5 linked regions of the Macaca fascicularis genome follow. The protein of the gene in region 1 interacts with the protein of each later gene in a pairwise test. Links are inferred from orthologs where the notes say so. Each region holds a gene or a part of one and is shown in the gene's direction. Other genes may lie near its edges.

Region 1 (3,500 bases):
CCAGTTGTCTAAAAACTGTGTTTCTGAAGTTGATTCCTTTGAATCAGCATCCTAATAAAAGCTATACTTTACATTTGGCTCTTAGATCTTAACATTTACTTATGCTTCTGTATGAATTTCAATTTTCTATTACTTTTTATTTCAAAAAATAAAAATTATTTGTTTTTTGAGAACAATCTCTAGTGTATCTTAGCGAGGTATTAAAATCTAAAACAAAATAATTATCAAAGTGGTGGCCTACCAAAGTAATAATAAACAAATTAAACAAATAGACTTATAATGGAATTCTGCCTTTGTACCTGGAGGCACTTTTCACAGGATATTTTTTAGATCACGATGATGTTGACAATGATGATAACAGCTAACACTTCAAGAGTGCTTTCTGTGTACCAAGGCATGCATGTTTCTAAGTGCCTTTCATAAACGAATTTAATCTTTACAACAGCCCTATAATATAAGCACCATATTATCAATCTTACTTTATAGATGGGTCAAATGAGGTATATAGAGGTTAAGTAACTTGCTGAAGGTCGAAAAGTAATGTAAGAATTAGAATTTTAACCCAGACAGTCTGGTGCCAAGAGCCCTAGCACTTACCTGCTACACTACACTATACTACACTACACTACTCTGTTTTCAGTACCTGTGTTCAATTTATTAAACATATTGAGGATATGTGGTATGAGGCCCTGTAGGAAAAGCCATATATTTAGAATATAGTATATATTTGGGTAATAAATTAGATGATCATTTACTTAATTAGATATTATAAAATTTAACATCCATTTATTTAATATAGCAAATTTCATTATCCTGGCCACTCAAATATATAAAATGCAAGAGGATATCCAGATGTTATAGAGGAGTTTAACTTTATATTCTCTCAATTAAATATGACTATCCTCTTTCTAAAACAAAGCATACCAAGAAAATATTTCCACTCTATCTAGTAGTTATTATGTGGTGGATAGAGCAGTCATATATTTCTATAATATTTTTAAGTATACCTGTCTAACTTTATTAATTTTTCCAGGTGCTATTATGAATGCCATCTATAGTATGCCCTTTAAAATTTTTATGCAGTTGTGTTGGTCCTCACATATTTAATGTCCCAAAAAATTGATTACCAGTAATCACAGCTGAATTTCTTAATTTGCTTTGCAAATTCAGAATAACCTGGTATATCTCTGGCAATTTTATTTAAAAATGTTTATGTATTTATTTAGAGGGTTTATGAAGTTCTTTTGGCTTCCAAAGTTTGAAATACTGTGATAAAGTTGTGTGTTGATTAGCTTAATAAAATAACTGCTCAGCATGTTCTTAATATTCACATCAACTTCTCATTTCTTCGTTGTTATCAACTGGTATATTTTATACAAAATATTTTGAAGTGGGCTTAAGTATTGCTTAATCTAGAGTTTTCATTGACATTATAGTTCACTCAATTAACAGATAAAGGGGAATAGTGCACTTTTTAAAAAAATCATCTATTTATCACTCTCTCTAATCTATACATGAGTCAAAGACCCAAAGTTTGTCTACTGATTTTTCTGCAACTTTAATTTCATGGTTCAGATTTCATCATTATTCACAATAGAATATCCAATTGTGCAGAGTGAGTTTGATTTGAGAATAAATGAAGGACAGTTGAGAGATATGATAGAGGATTTAATGGATCATTCAGATAGCAAAGGTGTTTCATAATTAAACCTTGTTGAGGTCTTGGTTATTACGCAAACGTTAACGACTGAGAGTTGATATCTGGCCAGGATATAGTTCTCATTTGCACCATTTTGCTATTATATATATGAGTTTAATTTCCATAAATTGTTAAAAAACATATTTGGTTATTGTTTTAATTTTTTATTTAATTAACAGTGTTTTGGAATTTTTGTATTTATGTATATTATAGATGAATATATATATACACACACACACATATATATACACACACACACACACACACAGTGACTTTTGTAAAACTTAGCAATATCATGTAACAGAAGAAACCTAAAGGACTTTTGGATGTTTTTATTTGCTTTGGAATTTTCAACAGATTTAATTTATATTTGAATTATCTGAGGAAAAACTTCAATATGTAATTCACATTCATAGTCTAAAGACTGTGAAGATATAAAGATATGGATTTATCTACATTTCAGCATGAACAATAGACATAAAATTGATTTCTTCTAAGGAAATTCTTCTTAATGCTTATATACAGATAATGAGAGAGATTCACAAAAGTAAGCTTTTTCTAAATGTTTGGTTTGATAGAAAAATCAAGTACTGTATACAGGCAGTTCTAGTTTTGCATTTAAGCAAGGATATGGTTCTGATATGCACAAGTTTCAGTAACATGGTACCATGCAAAGTGAAGACTGCCTGTATAACAATGGCATTTTTATCTAAAAAGACCATTCCCCAAGATTCTTTATTACAAGTCGTATTTACTATGACTTTTAACCACTCCGTAGACAATGTTACCATTAATAGTTCCATCAGTAGCTGAAATATATAAAACCAGATAATTTTGTCTGACAAACTGGCTTCTCTTCTACAACTTCTCCAAAAACTGCTTTCTAAAAAGTTAGAAGAGCCATGTCCACTTAGAATAAAATGATTTACTAAATAAAGGGTTCAATTAGGTAGATTATAGATATCTAGGAAATCAATTCATCATTATCTCAGTTAATTTATTATTAATTTATAAACAGTTGATAGTTTTATTAGGTTTCTTAAAAGTTTTGTTAAAATAGTATAACCACCTATATATAATTCATGCTTTGTATCAGCACTCTGAGGACAAGTAAAACAGAATTTTTATTTTAATGCATGAATATACTTGTGTTTTAAGGAACCAATATAGTGTTGAAGTGTAACCTCCTCTGAAGTGATATTTAAATATTTGTAGATATTTGCAAACATATCTCATCATTAAATTATTGGTATTTAAATTGGGGGAGATGCTTTTTTTTCTGCAATTTATTGCCTTAGAATTATGGAAAGAAGCATTCCTTTTAAGTAACATGATGGACCCCTTTTGTAAATTGTCTAAAGATTTACACAAAATACTCTCTACAGCAGAGCAGTACACAAGACTCTGGACTACAGGAAAGTGAAGTATCAGCAGAAAATATCTTAACTGTAGCCAAGGATCCAAGATATGCCAGATATCTCAAAATGGTTCAAGTGGTAAGCTAATTTGGTCTGTCTTCTTTGTGTAGCAGCCTCATTTGAAATTCTTAACCCTGGAGGTTTTGCTGTTATTTTTTTCAATTTGAGAAAACTGCTAAACCAAGTAACCAAGTTTTCTATTCTCTTCCTTTCTATTTTAACTCTCTGATTTAAAAAAAAAAAAAAAAAAAAGTCAAATCTTTGTAATTAGAATCGATCCCACACTTTAAATTAACATAGTTTAATATAGATTTATATAAATTTGTTTGCATTACACAAAGTTATCAATGCAAATCTTAGATACAAAAAGTAATGAAAGTAGA
Region 2 (4,006 bases), on another chromosome or scaffold:
CCCTTATTATTGCTGAATTATTTCTCGAGTTGGTCTCCTCCTCGTTTATGAAACATTGCTACTTCTTAAAAATTATTGTTTTTCTAGAGCTTCCTGACTTCGAAGAGAAAGTTGTAATCTGTTTTTCTCTTTTAAAATGTTGGTTTATATATTGGAATAAAAGAGTATTATAGAAACTTAAGGAATTGTTGTTATAAGCAGCATCATGCTTTTGTTTTGTTTTTGAGACAAAGTCTTGCTCTGTCGCTCAGGCTGGAGTTTAGTGGTGCAATCTTGGCTCACTACAACCTCCGCCTCCCGGTTCAAGCAATTCTGATACCTCAGCCTCCCAAGTAGCTGGGACTACGGGTGCCGGCCACCATATCCGGCTAATTTTTGTATTTTTAGTAGAGACGGGGTTTCACCATGTTGGCCAGGCTGGTCTCTTGACCTCAAGTGATTCACCCGCCTCGGCCTCCTAAAGTGCTGGGATAACAGATATGAGCCACCGCACCCGGCCTGTGTTTCTATACTACTTGGTTTATTTATTTATACCTTTCCTCATTCCCTGTCTTAATTGAAAAATGATGCCAGTTTGAGCCTCAGAAAAAGCATTCGTGTTGCTTATCTGAAAAAGAAAATGCCGGAAAAGTGAGAAATGTCTCCTGTATCGAGTGTAATAATGCATTTACATCAAAATATTCATACTAAGCAAAATACTGATTTATGGATCAAATAGAGCTTAGAGATGTTATTGTTATGAGTCATTTAAATAAATTCGATGGCTCTTCTATTAAATATTTTAACTTTGAAAGAAAACTAATGCCATTTTAGATTTAAACATTTTAAATACACACAGTCATGTACCTCCAGTGATTGTTAATCTATATAGAACTATACAGGAAAATGACAACACAAACTGACTAGTGTAAGCAAAATGACAAATAAGGCCACAAAGAAACAATAGCATGAATTACTTTCTTAATGTGAATAATAAGAAATACTGTTGAAAGTGAAGAGCAAAACCAAAAATATGCCAGTAGTGTGACTTGATTTGGAAAAACAACTTTTCAGTGTTCCTACTTTAATAATTGTAACATCAATGGTTTGTGAAAGGACATTCACTCTATGTGAGAGACCATAATTAGTTGGCATTCACTTGGGGGATATCCTTACCATTGAAATGAAGCATTGATATGTAGCATCTAGGTTAGCTATGTAAAGCCTAATGTGCTTACCACTAGATACCAGTCCAAGATGGAGGCTAATAACGCTGAACAGCTCTCAGCGGAACAACAGTCAACACCTCCAGGGGACAGTTCATCATTACCCCGTCACAATGGCCTGGAGAAGGAAGATGGTCAGGATTCTTCAACCCCAGTCCAGCCACCGGAGAAAGAGGCAGATGTGCACCCCGATATCTCTGAAGAGCTGAATCGACAGCTGGAAGACATCATTAACACTTATGGGTCTGCTGCCAGCACAGCAGGGAAACTTATGGGTCTCACTGCCAGGGCTAGTGAGCAGCCTGAGAATGCGGAATCACCTGACAATGAGGATGGGGACTGTGAGGAAACAACTGAAGAGGCTGGAAGAGAACCTGTTGCTTCTGGAGAGCCACCCACTGTCAAAGAGCCTGTCAGCAATAAAGAGCAAAAATTGGAAAAGAAAATCCTAAAAGGATTAGGCAAGTAGTTATACTCAAATATATGACTTTTCTGTATAGTATTCCTGAAAAAGGGGCACTTCCTCCAACCTTCACTAAAAGCCACATCTAATATTTGAATTACTGTGATAGCCTTCTACATTTTCCCTTGCTGTATTTGTCCCCAGCCCTTTCCCCTCAATACAGCTCAGGTGAACTTTTCAGTCTGTTACCCATTGACCCTCTGTTGCATGGCTTCCTACTGCTCTTAGGATGAAGACCAAAATCTTTAACATGTTCTCTAAGATCCTAATGATCTAACTCCAACCAGTCCCAGTTTTATCTCAGATTACTCTACCCTACAACATCACCTTCCTGAACACTCTGCTTCTATTACTACCACCACCACTACTGCCTAATAGCTAGTCATTCTGATCTTGTCTTTCAGGCCTTTGAACATGCTATGCTCCATCTCCCACAAGGCCTGTGCCCATCCTAGTTTCTTTACCTAGAAATCTTTACCCATCCTCAAGTGCCCAATGACTGTATATTAACACCTAGTCTTTGTAAGGCACTGTGCTAGGTGCACAAAGGTAAATAAGTCATGGCCCTTTGGTCAAGGAGCTCTAAGTATAGAGAAAACAGAAGACACGTAAATTAATTCTATAGGAGAAGTGCAAAAACAGGAACAGGAAAATTTTTTAGGAGAGCACGGGAGATTGGTAACACCAACGATGGCTGTGAAAAAAGGGTGAGAATGTTAATTTTTTAAACTATGAGTGAAAGCATGTTACTGTACATAGGAAAGTCCCTCTGCTTATCTTTCCTGGTGGAAACACTCACTACAAATACCCACTCCTGTGTGATACTTTCCCTGATACGCCCAGGTAGAGGCAGCATCACCTTCCTTAGTTTCCCATTAAATTTTCTGCAGCAAGTCATTTGTTTATAACCCATCTCCCATGCTAGTTGGAGAATCTATCAAGGGCAGAGACCACATCTTATTTGTTTCCGGAAGACTGTGTGGTAGAGTGAAAGATCATAAGCGTTGGTGTCAGAACTGGGTTCAACCTCCAGTAACCAGATTATCTGTAAACCCAAAAATATCCCAAACTGGAGTAGAATATTTTTCTGCAGTGAGCAGGTATATACAAACCTACTCACAAAGACCAAGGGAGCTGAAGGCCAAAAGCAGAAGCTGACAAATCCACTTTCTCAGAAAGAAATATTTAATAGGGGCTTACAAACAGTAGTGCTGTCTTGGGCAGCAGTGAGACAGTGGATCCCTGCACCCACTCTCCAGAAAGTGTCCTTTACATAGCAAGCTTTTAGGTAAAGTCATGTGCAGCTGGTCACATCTCAGACTTCCTTGCCAAAAGTCATGACCACTGGGAACATTAGATAAGCATCTTTCTGAGGGATTATCTATGTTACAGGCATTGTTTAAAGACCTTGCTGCAGAACAGCAGTCAACCTTTATGGCACCAGGGAAGACAATTTTTCCATGGACTGGGGAGGGACAGTTTCAGGATGATTCAAGCGCATTACATTTATTGTGCACTTTATTTCTATTATTATTACATTGTAATATATAATGAAATCATTATACAACTCACCATAATGTAGAATCAGTAGGAGCCCTGAGCTTGTTTTCCTGCAACTAGACGGTCCCATCTGGGGGTGATGGGAGACAGTGACAGATCATCAGGCATTAGATTCTCACAGGGAGTGTGCAACCTACATCCCTCGCATGCGCAGTTCACAATAGGGTTCATGCTCCTATGAGAATCTAATGCCACCACTGATCTGACAGGAGGTGGAGCTCAGGTGGTAATGTGAGTGATGGGGAGCAGCTGTAAATACAGATGAAGCTTTGCTCTGTTGCCTGCCACTCATCTCCTGCTGTGCAGTCCAGTTCCTAACAGGCCATGGACTGGTAGACAGGGTTGGAGATCCCTGCTGCAGAACACCTTGGTATGGAGGAGTCAAACATTGGTCATCGTGGCAGGTTTGCTTTAAGATGGCATCACTCTTGCCATGCAATGGGCTGTTTTCCTACAGATACCGCTATGATGCTAAAACCCATTGCTACAATGCTTTCAAGAAGGGCTGAATGACACATTGAGATAGCATACTTGACCCAACTAGTATAAAATTAAAAGAACCCAGATAATAACTTTAAAGTATCTTCAAGTTCCAAAGTGCAGGGTTGGAATCACTCTAGTGTTTTGGAACATGGAAAAACATAATAAAATTGCTCTGTGTTACAGAGCAATTTTTTCTTCTCTGACCAAACATCTCAAATGCGTCCCTTTACAAAGCTAGTCATTATTCAAGTTTCCATAAGACAATATACAAAACCTTATCCCAGAGGTAAGCAAC
Region 3 (4,082 bases), on another chromosome or scaffold:
GTTAAAAGGATTGTAAGTCACAGGATTGGGATAGGAGGTCAGCACAAGGTACAGGTCATAAAGACCTTGCTGATAAAACAGCTTGCAGTAAAGAAGCCGGCCAAAACCCACCAAAACCAGGATGGCAATGAGAATGAACCCTGTTTGTCCTCATTGCTACACTCCCATTAGCGCCATGACAGTATACAAATGCCATGGCAACATCAAGAAGTTACCCTATATGGTCTAAAAAGGGGAGGTATGAATCACCCACCCCTTGTTTAGCATACAATCAAGAAATAACCATAAAAATGAGCAACCAGCAGCCCTCGGGGCTCTGTCTATGGAGTAATCATTCTTTTATTCCTTCACTTTCTTAAACTTGCTTTCACTTTACAGACTCGCCCTGAATTCTTTCTTGCAGGAGATCCAAGAACCCCATCTCTTGGGGTCTGGATCAGGACCCTTTCCTGTAACAGGTCTAACCCCTTACAGACTCTCCCCACCTAAACTCAAACTGGAGCTGACCCTCACACACAGCAGTCCTTAAATGAGATGTGTGAAAGTTTCCAGAACTTTCACACATCTCCTTGCCAGGCCCGCAGTCAAGGACTCTCCTATCCCCTTGCCCTGAGACCCAATCCTAAAGACCATCTGTGGGGTTGGAACTAGAGGTTCCACCTCAGCAGTGCCCACCTCCTTCAACACCCAAACCCACAGTCTAACCCTGATGCCGGAAGCCTTCCCCACTCAACAGTAGGCATCGCGTGGAGTGCAAGAAGCCAGACATGATGGACAGCTTCCTGTCTGAATCCCCTCATATGAACCTGACGGGCACAATGAACCTGCAGGGTTAAACTCCGGACGCTGGCCACCCTCAGGGTGGAGATGACAGGACAGGACAGGACAGGACAGGGGCCATAGGGCTTCCGGGGGGCTCATGTTCCTTGACTTGGGGGCAGTTACAAGGGTATAGTGGGTCTTGTTGAAGGACAAAAGTTCAGTAAGTTCGTCCTGACAGGCCAAAGAAACCCAGAGCCGTCTTTCGACTGACTACAGCCTGGAATGGGGGCCAAGGCCACTCCCTGCCTCTATTGCTCCATTTCTGAGTTGGTCTCACTTCCCACTCCACCAACGGCACGCTGGGGAGGGGAGGGGCTATGCAAAAGAGGGCGGGGAGCGTGGGGTGGGGCCGCTCCTTGGAACGGAAGCGCTCGGCCTCGAGGCCCTTCCGGTGCGGGAGAAACTACTACTCCCATAATGCCCCGCGGTCCCGCGAGCAGCCAGTCTCGTCGCGAGAAGCAGCGGGCGGGGGCGTCTGAGCCGACAAACGGAAGTGTAGGTTACGGTCTGAGACATAACCGCCAAGCTGGGCGTCGGGGAGATGGCCGAGACTGACCCCAAGACCGTGCAGGACCTCACCTCGGTGGTAAGGGATGGCTGTGAGGGCCCGAGGCCGCGGCATTCTCGGGCGGCGCCGGGCCAGGCCCTGCTGGACAGAGGCGCGCCCACCGCGATCGCGCGTGGCGTCTGCCGAGGCCCCGTTTCTGGAAGCGTCTCTGGCCGAGGCTCCCGGCCACCTTGACCCCCTGGGCGCTCGGTGCGGACCCGTCTCCCCGCGGGCGCTCCCAAGCCCGACCCCCTCCGGTAGCCCCATTCACCTGTGGCGAACGCCCCCCGGGCCCCTCCTGCCTCCCTCTGACACCCTCCCCGCCCTTCGACTCCTTACACACCCCCGGGTGCCCCAACCCGGCAGAAACAGCCTAAAGACCCTGAACTTTGAGTCGCAGCGGCCTCCCCAGCCCACCAGTCTAATTAGACAGGTGGGAAAACGGAAGCCCCGAGAAGGAAGATCCTTGCTGAAGGCGGCACAGCTGCCCAGAGGCAGAAATGGGGCTGGAACCCGAGACCGGAGCTCACGTCCTGATCCCAGGAAGGTGTCTCAGGATCAGTGTGGACCATGTTTGTTTGTTTCGGTTTTTCTTAGGTGCAGACACTCCTGCAGCAGATGCAAGATAAATTTCAGACCATGTCTGACCAGATCATTGGGAGAAATATCCTTTTTATCTGTAGTGGGCCTCCTGTGGGCCTTTGGAGTCTCTTTGCCGGGCAGCGGTGGGGATAAATGAGTAGTTTTCAGGCCAGCTTCAGCCAGTCACTTACAGAATTTGAGCTTGGATTGTACTGTGTTTCCAAGAAGGACTGCGCCGAGAGCTCGGGGTACAGCTGAGCTAGACAGATCCCTGGCTCAAGGAGCGTACATCTACCAATCCTAATAGCTGGTGTGGTTGACCATGGACTGTGAACTAAGCGTTTTTGTGTGTGTCTTTCTTTTGATACTCAGCATGACCTTATGAGTGGGTTGTAGTGTTACCATCTTTAGCAAATGCATAAATTGAGGTTTAGGGGTTCCATCACTAGTAAGGGTCAGGGCCGGAAACCGATGCTGGGTAGCCATGCCCCAGAGGCCTATACTCTTACCCACCAGCCTGTAACAGTGTCTAAAGGAAATTGGAAGACCTGTTTCCCTAAAATCGTTGTGTTTAAGGCCGTAGTCTACAGGGACGGAAGGAAAGGGCTCAATGAGGAGATGTTGGCACGCGTTGTCTTTAACTTCACCACTTGATGATATGAGTAGTCGCATTGATGATCTGGAGAAGAACATCGCAGACCTCATGACACAGGCTGGGGTGGAAGAACTGGAAGGTGAAAACAAGATACCTGCCACACAAAAGAGTTGAAGGTGAGGAAGGGGGCAATTTTTTTTGTTGTTTCTTTTTTTCTTTTCTTTTTGTTTTTTTTTTTTTTTAACACGGAGTTTTGCTCTTGTTGCCCAGGCTGGAGTGCAATGGCACAATCTCGGCTCACCACAACCTTTGTCTCCTGGGTTCAAGGGATTCTCCTGCCTCAGCCTCCCGAGTAGCTGGGATTACAGGCTTGCGCCACGACGCCCAGCTAATTTTGTATTCTTAGTAGAGATGGGGTTTCTCCATGTTGGTCAGGCTGGTCTCGAATTCTGACCTCAAGTGATCCGCCCACCTCAGCCTCTGGAAGTACTGGGATTACAGGTGTGAGCCACCGTGCCCGGCCTTTTTTTTTTCCCTTAAAAGAATAGAACCTGTAAGTATAATTTTGATGTAGTCAGACATTCTGTAGATCAGTTCCCAGCCATGATCCCAGCAAACATCCCTGTATTCTTTACCCGCTGTGGACTTCATGTTTTGGAATTTTTCATGCCAAACTCATTCTTTACACTGAATTTATTTTCCCAGTTTTTATTAATTAGACTTCTGTCACTGTTAGTTAAGACAACTGGCTAACATTAGATAACCACTGAGTTTTTATCATTCCAGCTAATAAAGGGGTTTTTGTTGGCCTATAAAGCCTGTCACTGGAAGATTTTCCATTGCTTTTCTTGGGAGGCGGGGGGCGGTGGAGGGGATCGCTGATAAGTCGCCCACATTACCACCTTCTTAAATGGCTTAAATTCTGGAGACTTGCTTGGTAACTTGACATAGGTAAACTAGATTGTGGCCACATTAAGCTTTTACTCTGGAGTTCATTTAAATTTCCACTGAATAGTTTCAGATGTCAGAGGAAAGCCCATTAAAACTACCCAATAGCAAGATAGGTGCACTGAGTGCACAGTCCTTTTCCTCTGTATATGTGAAAAATAAGTTTTAAACTCCCTTTTCTCATGTTTCATGTATAACGTTTTAATTCTCTATAAAAATGAATGTTACCCAGGGAGGCAGAGGTTGCAGTTGAGATCGCGCCACTGCACTCCAGCCTGGGCGACAGAGTGAGACTCGTCTCAAAAAAAAAAACGGTTGCTGGCACGTGGTGGCTCATGCCTGTAATTCCAGCACTTTGGGAGGCAAAGGCGCGCAGATCACTTGATGTGAGGAGCTCGAGACCAGCCTGGCCAACATGGTGAAACCCTGTCTCTACAAAAATGGGCGTGGTGGTGCACGCCTGTAATCCCAGCTACTCGGCAGGCTGAGACAGGAGAATCCTTTGAACTCAGGAGGCAGAGTTTGCAGTGAGCCATGATCATGCTACTGCACTCCAGCCTGGGTGATAGAGCAAGACTCTGTCTCAAA
Region 4 (4,166 bases), on another chromosome or scaffold:
TTCCTCTGTGCGTGGGGAAAGCAGGCCCTCCTCAGAGAAGTCAGGGGTTCCCCGGCTCGAGGTATAGTGGCAAAGACCTAGTGGTCCCCTACCCCCACATCTCTCAGTTCCTGGCATGAGGAGAGAAGACCTTGCTCTGGTGGAGCTGACAACCTTTGAGGCCGGGAGGAGAAAGCAGCCTCTGGGCATCGTTCCCAGTGTCCTCCACACTAAAACGGTGTAGATGGCAACCCCCCCCCCGCCCGCCACCCCGCTGCTCACCTCTTGTGTTTGTGGTTCTGTTTGCCCCATTTATCTGTTGCTATTTTTGTGTTGTCTTCCCCCGCTCCGCATTTTGTAAAATGGCTCCTGGGGGAGTGTCTTTGCTGGATCTGCTCCCTCTCGCCCTCTCACTCCACTACTTTTTGGAAGAAAGTGATGGCAGAATGCGGTGGTGGTGGGGGGTCTTTTGTACTGTTGGATTAATAAAATGACTAAAATCCCAGACAAGGACTCCTTGCTGTTGCTGTGTGAAAAGGCTGGAATGAGCCACTGTCACTGCTGGGTAGGGTGCTTAGGGGTTGAGGATAAGTATACTCCCCAGGGTCCCTGGGAGTGGGAATGGCAGATCTGGCCCCTGAACTGACCCTGGTATAAGCTGCTGAGCCAAGGGAGGCCTGTGTTTCCCCGCCCATCCCCCTGTGTCTCAGCTGTGAGAAACTGAGTTTCCTTTCTGAGCATATTCCTGGTCCAGGCCTGGAGCCAGGAGGATTTGGCACCAAAGCCTCTGGAAGACAAGTGCTTGAGCTCTTCTGGGTTTAGCACCCCACCCACCTCCCAGTTGTTTGGGTTAGGGAGCAAGTGTAGCTCTAAGGGTGAGGGGAGGGGCTACTCCTGTTACAGCAAATTTCATTTTGGGATGTTTTTCAGATCGTTCCCGTCCCCCAACAGTTCTTTTAAAAGTAGCCATGGCATCTTTTAAGCAGTCTGTGCTGGAGCAGATTGGGGAGAACGGCAGGAGGGCTATTTCCACACCCTGGATTTGCGACCTGTCTCTCTCCCTTCCCCCATCTCACAGCTGTCTCTGTCTATCCGGGGACCAACCTGGCCCCTTCGTCATCTCAGAAGACTGCACCCTCTGCCTTTCTCTCAGTTTGTGGGGGAGGGGGTTCCCTCTAGAAACTGTTTAGACACTGGGAAAGAAGGGCAGGAAACTCAGGATACAGTTAGCTGAGACCTCGGTCGTCCACCCGGTAAGCTCAAGTTTAGGGGCCCTGTCGCTAGACCTCCCTTCCCCTCCCCTGACTCTCAAGTCCTTCTCTTATTGGCCAAAAGTTTCCGCCCCCTTGGGGATGTTGACTTTTCATTGGTCAGTTTCTGGTCACATGATTCTCTTCTCGGGCTGCAAACGAAGGAAAGCCAGCAACAAGTTAAGCTGAAGACCGAAGCAAGAGCTGGGTCAGGTAATGCCTTAGCTGGGAAGGGGTCCACAGATTCCCTGTGACGGGGGTGGAATAAGGAAAAGGGAAGGCGGAACTAATCTAGAAGGAATGAGCTGCTTTTGATTTCCGGGCTGGGGGAGGAGGGCCAGGTGCCGACACTAACAAAACAGGAACCCCAGGCAAGTGGCCCTAGATCCTTTGCTTTAGAGGTTTGGAGGCGCAACTGTTAGAAGAGTTTAAATTAACTAGAGACGAGACTTCCTAGCTTTGTACTGAGTGGGAGAGCTCCCCCTTTAGCTGTTTTTTAGAAATAGCAGAAGTCTCTGTCATAATCCTTACAGGAGGTGTTTGTTGAATCCTGCCTGAATGAAAAGAAGGGGGTGGGGGGAGGGAGTGGAGGTGGGTTTTCTTCCAGAAGGTCGATGAAAAGAAAAAGATCTGGAAACACAGCAGGGAAGGGTGGAGATTAGACAGCAGAAGGAACTTCCTAATAAGGCAGTGAGATGCTGGCTTGGGAGAAGAGGGGTATTTTTTTGAATCCTGGGTTAACCTAACCAAGAGAGAGATATCAGGGTTTGGGACCCAGAGTATAGGAGCTTCAGAGTGTCTCCTATTTGGGTCTTATAAGTATTTGTTTTGTTGACCCAAATATCTTTGCTGGTTTCCATGGAGACAGTGGGTCTGACATCACTGTGGTTGCCATGGTGCCTGGTTCTAGAGGACCTGAGCAGACTGTACACACAGCTAGGCATAAACAGGGACTTCAGCCCAAGCTGCTGCCACTTCCTTCCTGCCACCACCTGTTAACAGTCAGCAACTGGGGATGGGGAGATGATGACAACGGCGGGGGCGGAGCCACAAGCGGAAGGCTGAACAGCCATGGCTCTATGGATACTTAGAGATGCATGCCAGGGTGTCCTTTTGGACTTGGTACAGGGAAGTCATTACAGCCATTTTCCTGTCTCTGTGTGGGATGGGTGCATGTGTCTGGGAGGATGGGCATTGGGAAAGACCTATCCAGGACTTGGATCTTGACTGGCAGGAGCCACAGGAGGTTATTTAGGGCACCACGTGGGACTTGAAAACAGCTCAAACAGAAGGGGATAAGGTGGTTGGTTTCGAAGGTAGAACTGCCGTACTGTCCCAGCCTCACTTCCCTTTTCCTGAGTTTCCTTATAAAGTGCTGGGGAAGCAGTCATTTATCCTCTTCTGAAGGATCACAATCCAGTACTCTTGAGAGGTCAGCTCATCTATCCTTCCACCTTTATGCCTGGTCCCAACAGGAGCTGCCTGAGGGAACTGTCTTAGCCTTGGATGAAGGGGCGGATCCCTCTCTTCTTACTCTGCTTTGTGTCAGTCAGGCTTTGGAAACTGGAGTGATTCCCTCCCCTGTCCCTGTCAAGTCAGAGCAGATTAACGAGGTGCAGGACCATAGCCCTGATTTTTGTCTATCTTTTGCAAGCTATAAAGTGGTGTATATATACATGATAGTTGCCATAAATCCATTTTCCCAGTCACCTTCAAGTTCCCTAACACCAAACTCTGGCGATTACTAAGAAGGTAAACAGAATTTATGATGGAGCTGAGAGTGATGAGGAGACATAAAAGGTGCATCCAGGTGGATCTAAGCTATGCCAGTGGTTCTCAACCCTGGGTGCGCATGAGAATCATTTGAGAGGTTTTTAAAAAGACCCACGCCTGGGCCTACACCCCAACTCAATTGAATCAAAATCTTAGGTGATTCCAATGTGCAACCAAGATTGAGAACCATTGAACTAGACCATACCAAGGACTTATGCTGGGCAAGTGGTGGGACATTTAGGGCTGAAAGAGGCCATCAAGTCTTCCTTTGCAGGTCCTGGGGGAGAAGGTAGTGATTGTGTAGGAACCTGGTGTTGGGAAGGGAGGGCAAGGCTTCTTATTGGCAAGTTAAGTCTGTCAACCTTGCTGGGCTTAATCTTCCCTGACTAAAATGTCAGGGGGCTGGACTGGAATTCCCCAGAGCCTTTCCAGCCTATGCTACTTTGACCTTTCAAGGTCAGTTCAGTTTTCCAAGGCCCTGTTGGTCCCCGGAAGAGGCTGGCTTCTCTGTGGCTGTTGGCAGATTCTGATTTGCAAGGCAAATACTGCTTAGAAGAGTTGGGGTATCAGGGAGAGAAGGACTGGAACCAGGCTTGGTTCTGGAGGCTGCTGCCCAGCACTTGAACCTTGGAACCCAGCCAAGGCTGCTTTCTGCATCCTGCCCCTCCTGAAAGGAGCACCCATCCTTAAGAGAGCTTTCTTCTGCAGGTGGCAGCCACAGCAGCCTCAGGGACCTCAGCAACTATGGCCTCCTGCCCAGACTCTGATAATAGCTGGGTGCTTGCTGGCTCCGAGGTATGAAGAGCAGGCCTGGGAACCATGGGGGCAGGCTTGGGGGGTGTTTCTGCAGTGCTGGGCTTCTTTCTTGGTGGGTCCTTTTCCTTAGTCCTGATGGTCACCTGCATCACTTCCTGCTGGCTGTTAGAGGAACTCCAGTAGCAGGAAGAAGGAGATCGGGCCCCAGGGCTCAAGTGTTGGCACTTGGACCATGCTATGAAAGAAGGGACCAGTTCGGTAAGCTGAGACAAGTAGGGAGGGATTTCGAATGGAGAGACCAATGTGAACAAAGGTCCCGAGGCGATAGTGGGGAAAGCCATGCTGGGGGAGACTGTGGGACACCCATGGGTGATGTGGAGACGTGGGTTGGAGCCAGTGTTGGAGTGA
Region 5 (4,246 bases), on another chromosome or scaffold:
CCTAAGCTAAACTGAAACCACAAACCCTAACCCCTAACCCTACTGCTACCCCTAACCCCTAACCCCTGAAGCTAAACCTAACCATAACAACGCTAAACTTAAGCACTAACCTAGCCCTACCCCTACACTAAGCCTTAACCCAACTGTAACTCCTAACACTAACCCTAACCTTTAAACCTAACCCCTTACCCTAAACCGTAACCCCTAACCCTAACCCCAAAACCAACACCTAACCCTAACACCTACTCTAAAACACTAACCTCTAACCCTAACAATCCTTAGCCTAACACCCAAACCCTAACCCCTAACCCTGACCCTAATCTTCTATCCTCGAAACCCTAACCCCAAACCCTAACCCTAACATCCTAACCCCAACCCTAAAACCCTGATCCTAACCATTAAACCCTGACCCTAACGATTAAACCCTGACCCTAAATGCTACCCCTACCCCAACCCTCGACCAACCCTAACCCTACCCCTAATCCTTCCCCATCCCTAACGCTAACCCCAAACCCTAACCCCACCCCAACCCTAAAACGAACTTCTAACCCCTAAACCCTAACCCAAACCCTAACTCTACCCCAACTCTAACCTTTATCCCTAACTCTAACCTGTAGCCCTAACCCAAAACCCTAAGGTAACCTTTTATAGGTTGGGATTCGAGGCTTTGTATTTAGGACGGGCGGGTGTTCTGGTGTCTCCCACTCACCCGCACGGGAAGTTCTTCTGTTGGTTCTTCACAACCAGTCACGGTGCATCGCAGCCTCCCCTGGCCGGTGAAGGGCTGGTTCTCCCGAAAGCCTCGGCTCCTCCTCCCTCCTCCCAGTGCCCTCCAGGCCTCCCCGGTGGCCCCAGCGTGGCAGGGCCCGTGCAGAAGGGACCGTGGGCTTGTGGCCGGCATGGGCCGCTGTGGGCATGGAGCTCACGGGAACGCGGCCTAGGGGCAGGCTGCGCTCCTCTGCGCCAGCGGGAACAGCGGGCCCCGCGGGGGCTGCCACAGACGCGTCACTTGCTGGGGTCCGTGCACTCCCGCGGTGGCGTGGCCAAGCAGAGCCGCGACCCCGTGAGGTTGCCGGGGCCATGGCGCCTCGTGGAGTCGTCCGTGAGACACGCACATTTCACAGGCAGTTGCTGCGTGGCACACGCGCACTGGTCGCTCGTGGTGAGGGCCTCCAGAACCAGGGCCGGCCCCCCTCGGAGGCCAGCACACATGCGCGGGAGCACCCAGAACCGGGCCAATCGCGAGCCTGGACGGCCGGACGTGGCCCTCGCGGGCTTTGTAACCCTCGGGCCTTTACGCATGCGCACTAGCTGCCAGGCAGGCCGGCCGAACATTACTTCACATATCCAGAGCGCGCGCGGGGGTGCATTGCGCAGGCGCGCTGCCTGGAGTCCCGCCCCCTGCAGGGGTTGCTCCAATCACCACTGGAGGCTTCCTCCCAAGCCACCCGCGCTGCTGAGCTGAGAGGAAATGGCGGGGAGGTCCCTGGCGTCGAAGGCCGAGCCCACCGCCGGAGCCATGGACGGGGCTGAGAAGGCCGAAGGTAGTGGAGGGAGGCAGGGAACTGTGCGTGAGGGTCTGACCTCGCCGAGGCGGGGCAGGGTTGGGGCGCGGGTGGCGACTACTTCCTGTCAGTCCTGATGGTGCTGACTGAGACTTAGCGGGTTTCTTCAGAAAACTTTCCGCCAAGATGAGGGAGTGCTGGCCCGCACACCCCTCACTTCGTCTTAAAGCATTGAACCTTTATCGTGGTTGCTCCAATTTTGGTTTAGGTAATTAGTCAAAAGACATCCTGTCGTTCCACAGACTTTTCATACACACCTCTTAAAACAAAAAGGACATTTTCCTGACGCTCCCAATCCCAAGGGAATTCCTAATTCCACACTCCTCTTTCTAGAACCAGCAAGTGTCCAGATTTCCCGGTCGCACTAACCTGGTTCTTGACAGTGGGTTCCCCCACCCAGCATCCCGACGCCCCGGGGAGCCGGGGGAGGCCGACTCCCCGCAGATCTCCCGTTTGTTTCTCCCCGACCCCGACCTGCCGTAGAGGCTCCTACCTCACCCTGGGAAGGGAGGGACAAGGCAGCTGGTCAGAGTTGTACAGAAGTCCCGAAATTGCAGCCCAACAAAGAGAAAGAACACTGTCCTGGCCGTTTCCACTTCAGGACGCTGTGTACCTCTGGGTGTTTTGGGAGAATTTTCAAACTTACACAAAAGTGGAGAGAATTGTACGGTGACGTCCCTCCTGCTGTCACTCAACTTGTCACTCTGTCCTGAGCTCATGTGTCCCCCCTGAGTTAAAACGCTGCAATTAACAAACGCCACGGTGGCTGCCTCCAGCCCTACCTGCGTGAATATCATGGCAGGTGCTCTGTCGTGTTCTTACAAAATGAAGGTTTGAATACTGAAACAAGCTTGGCACAGAAAGCATCCCTACAGTGAGATGTGGCACAGTGAAAGCCCCAGTGAAGGACAAAGCAAGTAAACAGGACAGACGCAAACGTATCCCTTTCATTAAGCACCTACTGGCCCGCCACTGTGGTAGCCTTTCAGTATCACAGCTCCATGTTCCTCACATAACCTAGTATATTTAGATAAGGTTTAACCAACGTTGCTTGTGCCTTCGTTCAAACTGCTACAACAGAAATGCCATTATTTCTCACAGTTTTCGAGGCTAGAAGTTCAAGATCAAGGTGCAATGCAGCGTCTGGTGGGGGCCTGCTTCCTGGTTGTAGACTTCTGTCTTCTCATTTTGTCCTCATATGGGGGAAGTTGCTGCCGGCCTCTCTGGTTTTATAAGGGCACTAATCCCATTGCTGAGGGCCCTACTCTCATGACCTAATCACCTCCCAAAGGCCCCACCTCCTAATGCAGTCACACTAAGGGATTAGGATTTCAACATACGAATTATGGATGGGGGCACAAACATTCAGTCTATAGTGACCAGCTACAGAAGAAAGTTAAAGGACAAGATTCCAGTTTTAGTCGGGATGTTATCTAGGATCAGTGACACTAGATACATTTTAGTAAAAGGTCTGTTAGTCTCCATCTAACTGGCTGCAGTTATTACTATAAAGGGGAATGACTGGGGAAAACGAATGTTTGTGTTTCAATTTTTTCTTCATGCTTTTTCACACATGCCAATTACTTGAATAATGTAAAACTTAATTCATAAATTTATGAGCAGTGATTTGTGTAAGATTTCGGGTGGGACCAAAATGAGGGGACTCCATAAACTCAAAAATAAGCATTTCACAAAACTCTATGCTTGATTTTTTTTTTTTTTTTTTTTTTTTTTTTTTTTTTTTGAGACAAGATTGTGCTCTGTTGCTCAGGCGGGAGTGCAGTGTTACAATCACTGCTCACTGCAGCCTTGACTTCCTGGCCTCAAGCAATTCTCCCACCTTAGCCTCTTAAGTAGCTGCAATCACAGGTGCATGTCACCACTCCCAGATAATATTTTTAAATTTGTTATTTGTAGAAATGGGGTTTTGCTGCATTGCTCAGGCTGCTCTTGAACTCCTATGCTCAAGCAGTCCTCCTGCCTCAGCCTCCCAAAAGTGCTGGGATTATGGATGTGAACTACTGAGCCTGGCCTTATGCATGTATCCATGATTTTTAATGGCTGTAAATGATTTATCCTGTGTATGTGCTATAATTTATTTAACAAATTCCCTAAGACATATTTAGGCTTCTTCCAGTTTTTTACTATTATAAACAATATAGTGATGAACACCTTGCGCATTATCCATATCAGAATTACTTAGGACATAGTCTTAGAAAAGAAGATGCACCCAAACTTTTGATATTTACTATCAGAGAGTTTGTAAGGAGACACCTTGATTTTGCATATCTGGTTGACAAAGATGAACACATTTGGAAACACAGGTGGTTGGTAAAAATGAAAAACTGGGCATCTTGTATACATCAGTGGAGGGTAATTTGGTAATGTCGATCAAAATTGTGACAAACTTTGGTCAGGTGCCTCTGAGCCTTCTCAACCATGCCTCGGCCTTGGCCTGTGATATGGTTTGAATCTGTGTCCTCACCCAAATCTCATGTTGAATTGTAATCCCCAGTGTTGAAGGTGGGGCCTGGTGGGAGGTGGTCGGATCACAGGAGACCAGTTTTATTTAGATAGTGACCACCTATCTTTTAACTGGATCTCTGAGCTCTGGGAAGAGGCCACACTGAATCATGGGTGTCCAAAAAGGGAGAATTATTATGAGGCTAGACCACATGGAT

Evidence for each region.
Region 2: the proteins of WASHC3 (region 1) and TXLNB interact in binary tests that used the Homo sapiens proteins (3 or more experiments, as listed by UniProt). The two-hybrid records come from large-scale screens. The link is inferred for Macaca fascicularis from reciprocal best matches to the Homo sapiens genes WASHC3 and TXLNB.
Region 3: the proteins of WASHC3 (region 1) and HSBP1 interact in binary tests that used the Homo sapiens proteins (3 or more experiments, as listed by UniProt). The two-hybrid records come from large-scale screens. The link is inferred for Macaca fascicularis from reciprocal best matches to the Homo sapiens genes WASHC3 and HSBP1.
Region 4: the proteins of WASHC3 (region 1) and PBXIP1 interact in binary tests that used the Homo sapiens proteins (3 or more experiments, as listed by UniProt). The two-hybrid records come from large-scale screens. The link is inferred for Macaca fascicularis from reciprocal best matches to the Homo sapiens genes WASHC3 and PBXIP1.
Region 5: the proteins of WASHC3 (region 1) and SYCE1 interact in binary tests that used the Homo sapiens proteins (3 or more experiments, as listed by UniProt). The two-hybrid records come from large-scale screens. The link is inferred for Macaca fascicularis from reciprocal best matches to the Homo sapiens genes WASHC3 and SYCE1.

What each region holds. Positions count from the first base shown.
Region 1 is NC_088385.1:109,034,788-109,038,287, reverse strand, and holds part of WASHC3 (WASH complex subunit 3), read left to right. Parts: intron 1-3,084; coding exon 3,085-3,195; intron 3,196-3,500. UniProt on the Homo sapiens protein: Acts as a component of the WASH core complex that functions as a nucleation-promoting factor (NPF) at the surface of endosomes, where it recruits and activates the Arp2/3 complex to induce actin polymerization, playing a key role in the fission of tubules that serve as transport intermediates during endosome sorting.
Region 2 is NC_088378.1:43,337,108-43,341,113, reverse strand, and holds the start of TXLNB (beta-taxilin), read left to right. Parts: upstream 1-1,206; 5' UTR 1,207-1,236; coding exon 1,237-1,666; intron 1,667-4,006. UniProt on the Homo sapiens protein: Promotes motor nerve regeneration. May be involved in intracellular vesicle traffic.
Region 3 is NC_088394.1:79,684,712-79,688,793, forward strand, and holds the start of HSBP1 (heat shock factor-binding protein 1), read left to right. Parts: upstream 1-1,282; 5' UTR 1,283-1,363; coding exon 1,364-1,408; intron 1,409-1,966; coding exon 1,967-2,033; intron 2,034-2,601; coding exon 2,602-2,720; 3' UTR 2,721-2,722; intron 2,723-4,082. UniProt on the Homo sapiens protein: Negative regulator of the heat shock response. Negatively affects HSF1 DNA-binding activity. May have a role in the suppression of the activation of the stress response during the aging process.
Region 4 is NC_088375.1:106,189,455-106,193,620, forward strand, and holds the start of PBXIP1 (pre-B-cell leukemia transcription factor-interacting protein 1), read left to right. Parts: upstream 1-1,366; 5' UTR 1,367-1,442; intron 1,443-3,710; 5' UTR 3,711-3,746; coding exon 3,747-3,797; intron 3,798-3,888; exon of another isoform or gene 3,889-3,995; coding exon of another isoform or gene 3,996-4,016; intron 4,017-4,166. UniProt on the Homo sapiens protein: Regulator of pre-B-cell leukemia transcription factors (BPXs) function. Inhibits the binding of PBX1-HOX complex to DNA and blocks the transcriptional activity of E2A-PBX1.
Region 5 is NC_088383.1:142,662,260-142,666,505, reverse strand, and holds the start of SYCE1 (synaptonemal complex central element protein 1), read left to right. Parts: upstream 1-1,446; 5' UTR 1,447-1,471; coding exon 1,472-1,544; intron 1,545-4,246. UniProt on the Homo sapiens protein: Major component of the transverse central element of synaptonemal complexes (SCS), formed between homologous chromosomes during meiotic prophase. Requires SYCP1 in order to be incorporated into the central element.